2 linked regions of the Tamandua tetradactyla genome follow. The protein of the gene in region 1 interacts with the protein of each later gene in a biochemical or structural test. Links are inferred from orthologs where the notes say so. Each region holds a gene or a part of one and is shown in the gene's direction. Other genes may lie near its edges.

What was found.
Region 2: the proteins of MAGI1 (region 1) and ADRB1 interact in a test that uses a peptide from one of them, tested with the Homo sapiens proteins (2 studies listed by IntAct). The link is inferred for Tamandua tetradactyla from reciprocal best matches to the Homo sapiens genes MAGI1 and ADRB1.

What each region holds. Positions count from the first base shown.
Region 1 is NC_135341.1:18,498,615-18,506,206, forward strand, and holds the start of MAGI1 (membrane-associated guanylate kinase, WW and PDZ domain-containing protein 1), read left to right. Parts: upstream 1-4,584; 5' UTR 4,585-5,187; coding exon 5,188-5,500; intron 5,501-7,592. UniProt on the Homo sapiens protein: Plays a role in coupling actin fibers to cell junctions in endothelial cells, via its interaction with AMOTL2 and CDH5. May regulate acid-induced ASIC3 currents by modulating its expression at the cell surface.
Region 2 is NC_135339.1:76,001,883-76,009,571, forward strand, and holds the start of ADRB1 (beta-1 adrenergic receptor), read left to right. Parts: upstream 1-4,597; coding exon 4,598-5,983; 3' UTR 5,984-7,689. UniProt on the Homo sapiens protein: Beta-adrenergic receptors mediate the catecholamine-induced activation of adenylate cyclase through the action of G proteins. This receptor binds epinephrine and norepinephrine with approximately equal affinity.

The sequences.
Region 1 (7,592 bases):
TTTGAGTTCTGCTTTGAGTGCGGTAAATTAATAAAGATACACAAGAAGAAAGAGGAAGAAATATCAGGGAGCAAACACCCTTGATAATAAAATCTTATTTAAGCATCTACCTTGTCCAAATTACCATATTTTTACAGAAGTGGGGCAGGAGAGTAAGAGCTACAAATGTCTGTTCACAAGAAAATGCTGATTTACTGTTCTGAAAGAAATTAGCAATATCATCAGACATATTTTCAGCAGAATTAGGCAGGATGATCTTTTTAACTTGGGATACCTAATGTTTTAGACGGCTGGACAATTTGGGGGAATTTTAGGAGTGATTCCCCAGATAAATTCTTGGGTTTCTCTTAGTTCCTAAATAGATTAGACCTTACATCTAATTCCAGATCTTCCAGTTATCAATATTCCTTTTTTGATATTGAACCAGAAAATGGCGAACATGAACATTAGCCAGGATTTAAACCCTATTTAAACCGTATTCCCAGAGTTCCTCTTCTGGGGTATTAAAATAATAGTTCACATGTGATGTCTTGAAAGGTCACAAAAATTAGTATTTTATTTATAGTTTAGTTGAAATAACTAAAGGTAGGAATACTAGGGGCAGAGGAAACTGCCCATCTGCCACCCTGGTGAGGGACAGAACAGGTATTATGGGAATCAGAGAAGCCTCCAGAGGTGACTAGGAAAATGGCACCGTCTGCCATTTACTCTCTACCTGAAATGCTGGCTTTGCCCTCCCCGGTAGGTCTTCTGCTCTAGGCCACCATCATGGAGTCAGCTACCTTACTGGGAACAAAGTACTTAAATTCCTATCTCTAAGGTAGCCCCTGGCTGCATTCTTCAGAAACTGAAGGATAACAAATTTATGTTTGCTACTTTGCTCCACAGATGAACCACTTACTTCCCATCCTCACATTTTCATCAAAATAAGGTGAAGCACCACTTCAAACTGCAATGATATGTTTCTTTAATTACCCCTGGAAAACTGTGGGAAGAAATGGAATGGGACAAGAAGGAGAAATACACATTTCCTATCCACAGGGTTTTTTCCTCCCTCTAGTAGATCATAGGAAAACATGATCTTAATTTGTTGAGAGTATATTGGGTGCCATAGTTTTATTTCTCATCTGAATCCATGGTGTTTTATATTAAGAGTTTTTTTGTTGAAATGCTTGTGCATTAACAATATAAAAATGTTTGGCACTTTACCTATACTGCAGCCCACAAATCTACAAACACTTTAGAAATGTTTGCAAGTTAATCCTCTTTACATTCCAGTAAATTATTCCATTGTCAAAGCCCACAGATGGGATACAGGAGACTGGATTCCTGAATGGAACACTGTATCCCTTCGGATTAAAGGGAAGGAATGGAGACAATGGAGAAGAGGGTGACAATTATTATGCACACACTATATGGCAGACTCAAGAAGCAAGAAGATGTAGTTACCAAATATGTTCAAGGGGGATGAATGCCCACTCCCTGTACTCCAGTGGTGCGGTGGTTATGGGCATGGGTTTTGGGCATGTCTCTGGTTTCACATGCTGGCTTTGTCACTTCCAAACTCTGACCTTAGGCAAATTCCTTCACATCCCCAGTTTCATTTGCCTCAGTTGCAAAAGCAGGGTCATTCATCATAATACCTACCTCATGATGTTGTTGTGAGGATTAAGTAAAATAATACAGGCAAAAATCCTGCCATACATGGTAAACCCCAAGGTTAAGTACCTTATGGTATTATTTCCTCATCAGAATATATTGCTAAAGTCATAGCAACAATGAGAAACATTGGGACGGTAGGATGCTACTTTACATTTATTCAAGGGAAATGTACTTCAAAACGAGATAACTATACACTCTATGAAGAAAATAATCTACAAGTACTTTTCCTCTAGCTACCAAATCTAAATTGACTTTGGGTCCAAGGCCACATATTATACAGCTTAATGTCACACTTCATCTATCCATTCATTCATTCAGTATGTGCATGGAGGCATGGTTTAGGTGCTGATGATTCAAAGGATTTCTGTCCTGAAGGAGTTTCCTGTCTGGGACAAAGGAACTAGACCAGGAGAAACAGGACAGAACAGAAGGGGTAAGAGGAGGGGCAGAGAGGTTGAACATGCCTGGAAATAGGCAGCTTTGGTTGCTTTGGAGTTTCAAATGATTTCTTTTTATTTTCTTGGATTATTCCACTTATCCTGCCTTCTGTACTTGCAGGTACCCCTTCTCTTGGGGCTATTCCACATCTAAAATCTGAAGTACCCTAATTCTAAGAACTTTCCCCTTAACACTGATTCCAGACAGGTGGGGGAATTCCTGGCTAGCAGACTTGACTAAAATATGGAATGAGGAAGTAGGAAAGCATGCAAGGTCAATACTTCCTAGTGATTTGCCTTTCAATATGCTATGCCAAAAGCACATTTTTCTGGGAAGACTTATTCAACAAATACTTTTTTTAAAGTGAGTTACACACTAGTTTTGTAGAACACTAGGTGAATGCTCTGTGAAAATGGGGTATTTCACTCAAGTGCATGGAAGTCAATGGAGCAAGTGTATCACTCAATTTCAAAACAGATTTACATACTAGTTTCCTAGTACATTTACCAGGCACTGGGCACTATTCTAGGAAATGGGGATATATCAGTAAAACCAAAGTTTACTGCCACAGTTCCCTGCCCTCCTGTAGCTTACATTCTAGAGAGAGATGGACCACAGGTATATTCTCAAAAAGGGTCAGTGACACAAAAAAATGCTTAGGAATCATGATATTGAAACTGTGGCCTTCAGTGTTGTGTACCAGAATCATTTGAGGGAATCCTTAAAAACCCAGATGCTAGAGTCCATTCCTGAGATTCTGATTGAATGAATCTGGAGTTGGGCTTGGAAATCTGCATTTTGAAGCTCCCTGCTGATTTTTTATATACAGTCAGATTTGAGGCAGTTGTTTCCCAGAAAAGAGGCTGGAAATGAAATTCTGCTTACCAAGGAGGGCCACGGAAAATCTTTCAGAAACACTATCGAAAAATGGGATTTTCAGTCTTGGATATCCCAAGAGAGATGCATCAACATTCTTCCCTTATTATTATTAGCTTAGAATAGCACCATACAAACAGGCTTTAACATTATTTAAATATATGCCTACATATTTTTAAGCTCTAGAAAGGAGGGTATGATTATCGCCTAACTTGGAACCCCAAATGCTTTCGTAATTCCCTTTCCAAATAATAATACCAATAAATATAAAGAACTTTAATTAAATGCCGTTTTACAAGTATTCACTTTACAAGCTTAGCACTTTACAAGTATTCTCCCATGTAATGCTCTCCAGAACTCTTGGTTTACAGAGTAGAAAGGGGAGGCTCAGAGAAGTCAAGGAGCTCCTCCAAAGTCATAGAGAGAGCGGACCATTGGGAACCTAAATAAACTCCAGAGAGCAGCTCTCTGTCCCTTCAACTCACCATCCATATTTAGCACCGAGAATCTCTCCTGTGACCAAAGATGAATAAACAGGTTACAAATCTCCAAGGGGGGGAAGAAATTGCTTGGGGTACTGCCTCCCAGGTGGTATTTGGAGAGAGCAGCTTTCCGGGCGGTGGGTATTCTTTCTGTTCGAGGCCACCAAGCTCGTTCCGAGCTCTCACCCTACCCCCACCACCCCCGCCGCGGCGCCGCAGGCAGCAGCGACCCGGCGGCTGCAAATTCCGAGAGGCGGTGGCCGCACCGAAGCCGCGGGCGCCAGGACGCGGGAGTCGTTCCCAGACCTGGTAGCGATCCTTATCTCCTGTCCCCCGAAGGCTTCCTGCCTCCTCCGGGAGCTTGAGCCCGGGGCAGGTGGCTGGCTTCCGAAGTCTTTGATGGAAGTACGGTTCAAAATCTAGTTCCTATCTAACTGCGGAGATGCGAATCTCCGCTCACCCTTTAGCTTCTCTAGCGCGCCTTTTTCTGTCTGTTCTAAAAAGTTGGCTCCAAAGTTTAAAGGTTCTGGTGGGTGCGTGGGAGGGGGGCGCGTGATTCTCAAGGGACACTGGGGAGGCCCAGGAGACCCCACCGCCCTCCTCCCCCGGGTGGCAGAGAGTGCAGCAGACCTACACCAGGACCCGATCCCGCCGAGCAGGCAGCAGCAGGATCGCGCCTCCGGGTCGGTCTCAGGGGTTTAGAGGACCTATAGCTTGGCCAGTCACCGGCCGAGAGCAGTTAGGAGGCTTAGGGCCGGCGTGAGTGCGTGCGTGTGTGCGTGAGTGCAAGTTCGAGCGCGAGGGTGAGTGTATGAGCCTCCCAACCCCCACCTGTTTGAAATGATTTTGAACTCCCAAAGCCGGATTGTCCGTGTTTCAGAAGTTGCAAACAGTTTGGCCAAAACATCTGAGTGTCCTCTCACCCCTGAAGGGTTTTGCTGAATCTCCGGCCATTGAAAAAAGAGGAGAAAGCAGGGGGGTTGTGAAGAGGGAAGGTAAGTGGGTGTCTCCAGACAGGTCGGTTTTAGGACCCAACGGGAAGCACACTGGAATCTTTCTCTCCGGGAAGGAGGGGTGGGGCGGGCTGGCCGGCCGGCGGCGGCGGGGCGCATGCGCGCGCGTCTGCTTTCGCCGGTCGCAGCGCTCCGCGGCGCGGAATAGAATGAAATGTAACAAAACAAGCTGAGCCTTTGTATCTGCTTAAAGGGGCCGCCCGCACTTCCCTCCAGTTTCCCCCACCCCCGCTCCGCGACCGCGTCTCCAGGGCTCCAAGCAACTGGGCTGGAAGGGCTTCCCTCAACCGCAAGAACAACCCAGCAGCGAGGAAAGGCGAGCCAGGCGGGAGGCGTTAGAGGAGGCACCGCATTTCTAAACGGCAAGAAAGAAAGGAAGGAAGGAAGGAAAAAAAAAAATAACCCAAGCGGCGCAGAGTGGACTCTGGTCCTGGAGAGCCGGGTCGGGCGCCGGAACGCGAACCAAGAGGCACCGGAATGCAAACAAAGCTCGCGGGTGCCTGTGCAGGGCTCGCGGGGGAGCCGAGAAAGTTTGTTTTATGATGGCTTGAGTGCACGAGTGTGTGCAGGGAAGCGAGGCTGCCAACTTTCGCTCTCGAGTGGCGTTATTTGGAGGGAGATCTCTCTCCTATGAACCAGCGGAGCTCTGGGGGCTTGTGCTTGGGGGCCACCTGTCTCTCATTTATTTATTTTTTGGAGGAGGGGTGTACCTCATCATGTCGAAAGTGATCCAAAAGAAGAACCACTGGACTAGCAGGGTTCACGAATGCACCGTGAAGCGGGGACCCCAGGGCGAGCTGGGGGTGACGGTGCTGGGGGGCGCTGAGAATGGGGAGTTTCCGTATGTCGGAACGGTGGCGGCGGCGGAGACGCCGGGGCTTCCCGGCGGCAGCGAGGGCCCGAGGCTGGGCGAAGGGGAGCTGCTTCTGGAGGTGCAGGGGATCCGGGTGTCCGGCTTGCCCCGCTATGACGTGCTGGGAGTCATCGACAGCTGCAAGGAGGCCGTCACCTTCAAAGCCGTCAGACAAGGTAAGATGGGGCGTACCTCACGGTGGCGCCCTCCCCCGATGGGGGCGGCCTACGACCTGACCCCCTAACTTTGATTTCCGCTACTCTTCTCGCAGTGAAGCTAACGGGGAAGTTGAGGCGGTGCGCTCTATGGTGGAGAGATACTCAAAGTTGTTGGATTGTTTGCCTACCTGCGTTTGTTAGAGGCGTCCAGGGTTTGCGCAGGAAAGAAAGGACACATTTCCTAGGCCTAATGTGCTAGCTTATTTTAGCCGCCGAGCGCAGCTCAACCTCTCCCGTGTCTGGAGAAGAGTTAGAGAGCTGAGACAAGGGCAAAGGTGGGCACTCTCCCGGCTCCTTGGGGGAGGAATGCAGCGGGCGCAGCTGCTGGCGTTTTTCTGCTACTTGACTTGTTTCCAGACCTGGAGAGTGGGTGTGAGGCAGGAGAGGGTCTCCGGTTTGCTGGATCCCTTCCATCAGAAAATCGGTTTTCATCTCGCAGCCCCTCCAGGTGGACTGGGCTTGACCGCCTGGCAGAGTCTAAGTCAGCCTCTGAAGATCCTGCATTCACCCTACAGCTGGATGACGCATGTGTCTCCACCGGGTGGCCCAGTGGGGGCTGGGACGGGGGGGGGGGGAAGGAGGGAGGAGGGAGCACGTCCTTCAAACCTCAGATCAAGCCCAAGTTTTAGGCTAACACCATCACCACCAACATCATTAGTAATGATGAAAACAATAGCAGCCATTCATTTATCACTTACTACATGCAAGGCTCTGTGTAAAATGCTTTACCTGCAAGATCCTGCTTTGAGTCACAATTCTAAGGCCGAGTTATTTTTATAAACCCTATATTACAGATAAGTAAATGGGAACTGACAATGGTTAAGTGACTTGCCCAAGGTCACACAGCTACCACATCCCAGGATTTGAACCTTAAGCATTGGGGAGGAAGGGTTCTGGAGGCTGGGAGGATGGTCCTGAGGAACTGCAGGGGCTGATTTCAGACAGGGAGGACACAGATTCTTCCCTTAGAAGCCCATAAAGGAGGGGTGGACCACTAAAAGGATGGAAGAAGCTTTTGAGGGGTGGCGGTGGGTGGAGTGTCCCTTAATCTTCTTGGTTTGGGGCATATATATTAACCCAACAGAAAACGACTGGAGTCGTCTTAAGGGGATCCCAGTGGCTTGCGTGGGATCAGACAGCATGATGCATATTCTCCCCCATGAAAGTGCCAAGGAGGTGGCAAAGTTGAGCATGGTGAAAAGCTCCTACATGTGCCTGTTGGGTTGGCAGGGTGGGCAGCTGCTGGAAGAATGTGTCAAGGGAAAGAAGGTCTGGGCTGATTCTCTCTTGGAATCAGGCTTGTACTGGGTGAAATGGAGGAGGGGGCAGAGGGAATTGCCAGAACTTTTGGGAGCTTTGGGAGCTGAGGGCTGGAGCTTAGTTATGGAAAATTCATGCATTTATCCTCACCTCCCCTTGTATGCCTCCTCCTGAAGCCCTCCAGCATCCTGAACAAATCCTTACTTTACTAGGTTCCCTTAATGTGATGTACCTTGTAGTTATTAACTTCCTCAGAACTTCCTCCTCTCATCTCCCATACCATTTGGCACCTCATTGAGGCAAGAGACCCTACGTCATACATCATATACCTCCCCAGGCTTTTTCTTGAGGTCCATCACCACTGAAAATGTTTCCTCATCTGTAAAATGGTTTTCTTGTGGATATTATGTAAGCTAATTTAGTATGCAGAACAGTACCTGCCTGGCATTTAGTAAGTGCTCAGTAAAAATGAACTATGAATAAGTTTAAATTTAATTTTAACTGTTTCTTATTTTTAAGACTACCTTTTAATGTCAGAAACCTATGCCAGAAGCCTGGATTATTAAGGCTTAATAGCGTTGTAGAGAAAATACTGCGTGAAGCATTGGATGGGAGTGCCCTGCAGGTCTCAGTTAAGGAGCATGTTGGAGAAAGATCTGGAGAACAGATGATGGGCAGGGTTACCTGCGCCATCTGGAGGGTGTCTAGCAGTGTCCAGTGGTCCTGTATGGGGCCTTCTTTGCAGTGTGCAAGATCATGTATATGGCTAAGCCTCCTCTTTCTCCCAGTG
Region 2 (7,689 bases), on another chromosome or scaffold:
GATTTGATGTACTTCAAAGTTTACTTAGAAATCTCCAGTTACTCACCCCGACTTCCTCTGCCCCATCAGCCAGCAGTTATCCCATTAGTCTGTTCACTTTTAATTTTAGCCCTTTTGCTGGCAGCAGTAACACAAGAATGGAATGTCTTTGCCAGCTCCATGGCACATAGGGGTAGAATGGGTCAGATGCCCACTGATCACTGTTCTGCAGACTTTTAATTTGATATAGAACTTGACACCAGATTCAAGTCATTAGCTATTCTCCCAGGGCAGAGATGGCTGGGTATATAATACCGTAAATGAAAGCAGAGGGAAAAATTCCCTTCATCTTGATCGTTTGTGAAGATAAGGTAATACTTTTTATTACTGTGATCTCGTATTGGCCCCTTTAGAAAGCCCCTTGCCTATACCTTACTTCATTCATTACTAAATAGGTATGACAAAAATTTTTCTCATGAGCCTCTCTTATATTTGTAAAGTGTTTTCGAAATGCTTATATGAAAATATCAAGTATGCTAAAGGTTTATTATTATGAATGGTAAGCATGAGTAAATATTTTAACAATCAAAACAATTATTTCTCATAAGTATGAATATACATTATTAAATTAAATATTAAATATTTGTGAACCAGTACTAAATATTAATTAATAAAAATAAATATTAGTAATTTGAGGGGCTATAAAAATGGGTGGGCTAGTCCTGGCTCTCACTGAACTTACAATCCATATGAGAAAGCAAGAGAAAAACATGTAAAAATTACACAAGATAGCAATATAAGAGATCTCAAAAAGCAATATATTGCTAATTGCCTCCTGAATGGCAAAAATCATAGTTAAGCATTGTAGGACAGAGGAAGGAGAGACCATTTCCAGAAGCAGTAGTCAGGGAAGATAGCAGGAGAAGACCTTAGTCAGATCTTGAAGGCTGAATTCACTGAGGCAGACATGGAAGAGGGAATTCTTGGTGGAAGGAACCCAGGGAGAAAAAGCACAGATGCAGGAAAGGAAAGAGTACTGGGGTGGTTTGAAGCTGTCTGTAGCCCATTAAAACATGCTCTTAAATTTAATGCATTCCTGTGGGAGTGGAACCCATTGTAAATAGGACCTTTTGATGAGGTTCTTTCATTTAAATTGTGGCCCACCTCAATGAGGACAGCTCTGAAATCCTATTACTGAGTCCTTTATAAGCAGAGTGAAATTCAGACAGAGAGAGAGTCACAAAGGGAGCAGCCAGAAGCTGAACATCAATGAAACCCAGAAGAGAAGGGAGAGACCAGAAAATACCACCTATGCCTTGCCATGTGACAAACTAAGGACCTAGGGTCACCAGCAACCAGCCCCAGAATGCCACAGTCTTTGGGGAGAGAGCACTGTCTTGATGATGCCTTAATTTGGACTTTCTTTTAGCCTCAAACCATAAGCTAATAAATTCCCACTGTTGAAGCCTACTCACTGCATGGTATTTGGTTGAGCAGCTTAGGAAACTGCAAGTTAAGCTGATGTAGAGCGTTCTAATGAGAGAGAGCGCTGGAAAGGAAGTTTGTGGCTAGACTGTGAAGATCTCTGAAAGCCAAGTTGAGAAGTTAGGTTTCTAAACCGAGAAGCATCTTAGTCAAAGCAGTACTTTCAGAACATTAATTAGACTATGATATGCTGGATTCAATGCAGGGGGGAGGCCAAATAGAACCCACAAGTTCAAATACAGGTGATGGCGGTGGGATAGGTCTGGTGAGGTGGAGGCAGGGAATATGGAGGAAGGAGTACACTATTTCTTAAGTGTGCTGATTGGAATTATTGTTGGAGTGCTTTGCTATATTCTGAAGTATTGCCAAATATGTGGGTTCCTAGGAACAGATTCTCTTTAACAGCTATGGATGGGAATGGGGAGATAGAGGAGTTATTCATTTTGAAGAGGCAAGCCCCCAAACATGTAATACCTGTCTAAGTTGAAACGCTGAACCTTTTCCTCTTTATCTTGTGTCTTCATCTAAGCACAAAAAAATCTAGCAAAAAAAAAAAAAAAAGATCAAAAAAGCCATGAAATATAAGAATTAAAGGTCACTGGGAAGATTTTATTTTAAAAGAAAACTAATTCAAGTTGCTACATGGTGTGCTTATACATTTACTTAGGCAGGAGAGTCCTTACCTTGCACAGTTCTTCACTGCAAGTCCACAACCAAGGTCTGGCCTTATCTCTTCCAGAAATGCAGCTCCTTCACCCTTCAGGGGCACTTAAGGTTGACACTCTCTATTCTGGTAGCACCACTTGACAAAAAGATGGCACCCAATGGAAAGCTTTTTCCCCACACCCTCACCCAGCAGCCAGGCACTCAACCCTCTTCCTGGGCAGCATCAATTTCAACCCTTTCCAATTCCTTGGCTATTTTGAGACTGTCCGTTGAGGTTCTGAAAGGTGCCTGAAGGGGAGACTCAGTTTGAAAAGACTTGGGTAACTAAGAATTCAAGCCTGTTCCTCTCCTCTTTCCAGCCCCTCTTGTTTCCTTGTTTCCCTTCTTCAGTCTCCCCAGATTGACAGTACTAGGGCAGGGGTGAATAAACAAATAAATCACTCCCTGGTTATAACATTCTGAATATCAAATTTGAATCAAAAGCAAATTTATATGCTTGGATTTCGGAGAAAGTAGTTAAAAACTGCTTGACTTTGTAAAGTTAATGAGCTTTATTTTCTGCTCTTGAGTTGGATAGTTGTAGAAATCAGCATCTCTCTGCAAGGTAAGAATATGTTTGGTCTAGATGTTGATGTTCCTTCCAGAAGCTGTTTTTAAAATTTCAGTGCTAGAAAGATGTGTGAGCATTGAATACCATTTTCATGCACCCCTACATGGAAAACTAGAAGTTGATTATTTCTCAAAGATTTAATTAAAGATCTTTAATTTGAGGACATTACCAGATCCAAATTAGAGAAAGGGTTTGCAGTCTCCTTCCGGCTTGTATTGGTGACAATCCTGTCTGTCCCTTCATATAATCCCCACACAGCTCAGCTAACAGCTCATTCATGTCAAGCTGATTCAATTGCTAATTCAAAACCTACTGTTACAGCTTTAAATCCTTTCGTTTTTCAATCATCTTGAATATTTACATATTTCCTTCTCTCATCCTTCCAGGACTAATCCTAGAGTTTTGAGAATCTGGAATTTGGGCACAGGAGAAAAGATGGCTCAGACCAAGAAATCTGAAGTCTCAGGTCATTATTTCAACCAAAACTGGCAGTTCCTTTTTGTTTGTATTGACTCAGCTCCAATATGAAATCACATGCGTAATAAAAAACAAAATACAGGTGTCATTACTGAATGTGAAAGGTCTGAAATGTAATTAAATGTGTTCTTTCTTCACGGCGGTGCCATTTACTTTTTATGTCAACATTTGTTTCTCTAAATCTCTCTATATTACCGACACACACTGTTGCGGCATATTCACACATTCATTAGCTGGGACTGGGGAGTGTGTGTTTTTGCAATTGATCCTCAGCGTTAGCTGTTAGGAGCAGAAACCTTAGCTTCCTTTCTGCATCTACTGCACTGAAACGACTGAAGATCCCTGCAAGAACAGCGCCAGAGAGCGTTCCGACAGATGAGCGGTTTGCTTAACGCGTTCGGCTGGAAAGTTTCCTCTAACCACCTACACCTGCCTCTGATTCCCCGAGCTGGCAGGACGCAGGCTGGCAAGGTCCCCTTTTGGCAAGGAAAGGGCTTTACACACACCCATCTGGGTTGTCTGAGAAACAATCTCGCAGTCAAACTCCTCCAACCCCAGCGGACAGACTGTCCGAGGAGGAGCTGTGGCGCTTCAAGAACACGGAGGTTCCCTCCCGGCTAAAGGGAGTGCGCGCGATGCTCTGCGGGAGACCCGGGCGCTGGAGGTAAAGGACGCGCCGGGAGGGTGGGGGGACTGAAGGGATGGGCGGGAGGCAGCGGGAGTGCAGACAGAAGCCGAACGCGGGAGGCAGAAATCGCACGCAGCCGGGAGCGGAATACTGGAGGGAGAGGGAGCCGCAGAAGCCGGCTGAGAAACGCGCAGGAGCTGGGCGCTGTAGGGGGCGCAGGAAACTGGGCGCTGGGGCCCGCGGTGCGGGACGAGGCGTGCGCAGGACCCGGCAAACCCCAGCAAGGCGCTCGCACAGCGCTCAGCAGCTTACTCCCCCTCCCCGAGCCGCTCCAAAGCGCTGAGAGGGAGGTGCCGGGGACTGGGGAGGACCAGATAGGGGCGTGCCTTTGCCTCGATTGGCTGCGGGAGCTTGACGCGATGCCCCGGGGGTGGCTTGGAGGAGTGGGAGCCGGTGGGGTGGGTGCTGGGTGCCGGAGGAGCGGGCCGGCGCGCTCAGAAACATGCGGAGGTCTCGGCGGTCGTTCCAGCAGCGGCAGCGGCTCCAGCAGCAGCGGCGGCGGCGGCGGCGGCGACAACGCTCGGCTCCCTCGGAGAAGGCGCCCCGCGCCGATGCCTCGGGCCCTGCGCCGCGGCTGCGCTGACCTGGCCGCGACCTTCGTCCGCGAGCCCCGCCGCCCCGGCTTCTGGGGTACTCCCCCAGCCACGGCCCAGCCCCGCCACACACCCCGCCCCCGGCCTCCGCAGCTCGGCATGGGCGCGGGGGCGCTCGCCCTGGGCGCCTCCGAGCCCTGCAACCTGTCGTCTGCCGCGCCGCTCCCCGACGGTGCGGCCACTGCAGCGCGGCTACTGGTGCCCGCGTCGCCCGCCTCGTCGCCGCTGCCCACGTTGAGCGAGGTCCCCGCGCCGCTGTCACAGCAGTGGACGGCCGGCATGGGCCTGCTGATGGCGCTCATCGTGTTGCTCATCGTGGCGGGCAACGTGCTGGTGATCGTGGCCATCGCCAAGACGCCGCGGCTGCAGACGCTCACCAACCTCTTCATCATGTCCCTGGCCAGCGCCGACCTGGTCATGGGGCTGCTGGTGGTGCCGTTCGGGGCCACCATCGTGGTGTGGGGCCGCTGGGAATACGGTTCCTTCTTCTGCGAGCTCTGGACCTCGGTGGACGTGCTGTGCGTGACGGCCAGCATCGAGACCCTGTGTGTCATCGCCCTGGACCGCTACCTCGCCATCACGTCGCCCTTCCGCTACCAGAGCCTGCTGACCCGTGCGCGGGCGCGGACCCTCGTGTGCACCGTGTGGGCCATCTCGGCCCTGGTGTCCTTCCTGCCCATCCTCATGCACTGGTGGCGGGCCGAGGGCGAAGAGGCGCGCCGCTGCTACAACGACCCCAAGTGCTGCGACTTCGTCACCAACAGGGCCTACGCTATCGCCTCGTCCGTGGTCTCTTTCTACGTGCCCCTGTGCATCATGGCCTTCGTGTACCTGCGGGTTTTCCGCGAGGCCCAGAAGCAGGTGAAGAAGATCGACAGCTGCGAGCGCCGCTTCCTCGGTGGCCCCGCGCCGCCAGCCTCGCCCGCCCGCTCGCCGGGGTCCCCGCGCGCCGCCGCCCCTCTGGCCAACGGACGCACCAGCAAGCGGCGGCCCTCGCGCCTCGTGGCCCTACGCGAGCAGAAGGCGCTCAAGACGCTGGGCATCATCATGGGCGTGTTCACGCTCTGCTGGCTGCCCTTCTTCCTGGCCAACGTGGTGAAGGCCTTCCACCGCGACCTGGTGCCCGACCGCCTCTTCGTCTTCTTCAACTGGCTGGGCTACGCCAACTCGGCCTTCAACCCCATCATCTACTGCCGCAGCCCGGACTTCCGCAAGGCCTTCCAGGGCCTGCTCTGCAGCGCGCGCCGGGCGGCCCGGAGACGCCACGCGGCCGCCGGCGACCGGCCGCGCACCCCCGGCTGCCTGGCAGTGACCCGGCAGCTGCCGTCGCCAGGGGCCGCCTCCGACGACGACGACGTCGGGGCCGCGCCGCCCGCGCGCCTGCTGGAGCCCTGGGCCGGCTGTAACGGCGGGGCGGCGATGGACAGCGACTCGAGCCTGGACGAGCCGAGCCGCCCGGGCTCTGCCTCGGACTCGAAGGTGTAGGGCCCGCTCCCCGCCACTCTAGCCGGGACGTGGAGTCTGCACCCCGGGGGAGGAAAGACCCAGCGTTCCCGAATGGCTTCCCAGGGAAAAGAAAAGGTCTGTGTTTACTCAAGACCGAAGGCAGGTGAACTCAAAGCCCACAAACCTCGTCTGAATCATCCGAGACAGACAGAAAAGCCACGGACCGTTGCACAAAAAGGAAAGTTTGGGAGGGGTGGGAAAGTGGCTTGCTGATTTCTCTTGGATTCTTTTCTGTTCGTGGTTCGGCCTTCTTTTGCTTGTGCTTGTAATGCATCTTAGATTTTTTTCCCCCTCGCAGGTGGTCACACCTGCTGCAAAGACCTGAGTGCAAATTGGGTGGGAGGGGAAAGGAGAAGCTGTAGGGATAGGGATGAAAGTCTATCAACTTAGCTTCCATCTGTTCTCAGGAACAAGAGCACAGTCAACCCGGCTATGGCCCGGGAGGGGGAGGGGAGGGGCGTGAGACAGTTTGTCAGAACATGTTCCTTTTTGCTTTCTAGAGAACTTTCTCTCAAACTCTCAAGTAATGATATCCCCTGTTCTTAAAGCAAAGAGAAAGGATGGATGCAAAAATCAAGTTTCAAGAATAAGCTATTCTTGGAACAAATCTCACCTTGCTTTCCTTTTGTAGGGCAAACTTGCTGTCCCCCGTGCCTCGGGGGTCAGGCTCTGGGATTTCTACCTCACGCTGTGCATATTGCACAGCAAGCTAAAAGACTTGTTTATATTAAACAGCCTATTTATGTATCAATATTAGTCGGAAGGACCAGGCACTGAGCCTCCATAACATGTGATTGTCAATTGAAGACAGGACAGAAAAGAAAAAAAAATGGGGGAAACAGTTCTAATATCAAAACAGATTACCGTACATTTGGATAAAAATAAAAAATAAAACAAGGAGTAGTTCAAAATGCCATTTTTGCACAGTGTTAGAAATTACAAAGTCCACAGAAGATGTTATTTGCACAAAGGGAAATTAAATATTTTTAAAGGGGGGTGCATCTTAAAAGCTAAAAGTTAAAACTCTACTTCTGTTGTCTATTATATTATTGAGCTAATGATTTATTGGTAAAATATCTTTTTATACTCTTTTATCATGGTACTGTAATTGTATCCATATTATAACTATACTTATCTTAAGGGTTTTTTTTTTAATTTTTTTATGTCTAATTGCCCACGTGAATATGTTGGTAAAATTTAGCACTTGTGTGTAAATTCTATTTCCTCTTGCATATTTTGCCAAGTATTTATACTCTGGTGCAACTAACTACTGTGTGAGGAATTGGTCCATGTGCAATAAATACCAATGAAGCACAATCAAGATTATGTACCATGTGCCTGTAAGGGGTCAGTGATAGTGGAAAAGACAGCGTGTTTTGCTCAAAATACAGATCGGATTTCCGATATAGCTCTTTGAATAGCTTTTCATGACTCGATAACATAGCAAAGTGCTTTTAGACCAAATATACTTGCCCCTACTGAGCGCTGCAGATTCGCCCTAATTTTTCACAGCCGGATTTAAAGTATTCTAGACTACTTGTAGGCGTTTTCAAGATTCCATCTGCTGCACTTGACTTAAGTAACATTTTGGGGATTGTGTATCTTCAAAATAAAACTGATCGGGCCAAATTACTCAGTTTCAGCTTTGCCCAGAAATTCAGAGGAAAAAGATCTCATTGAATAAT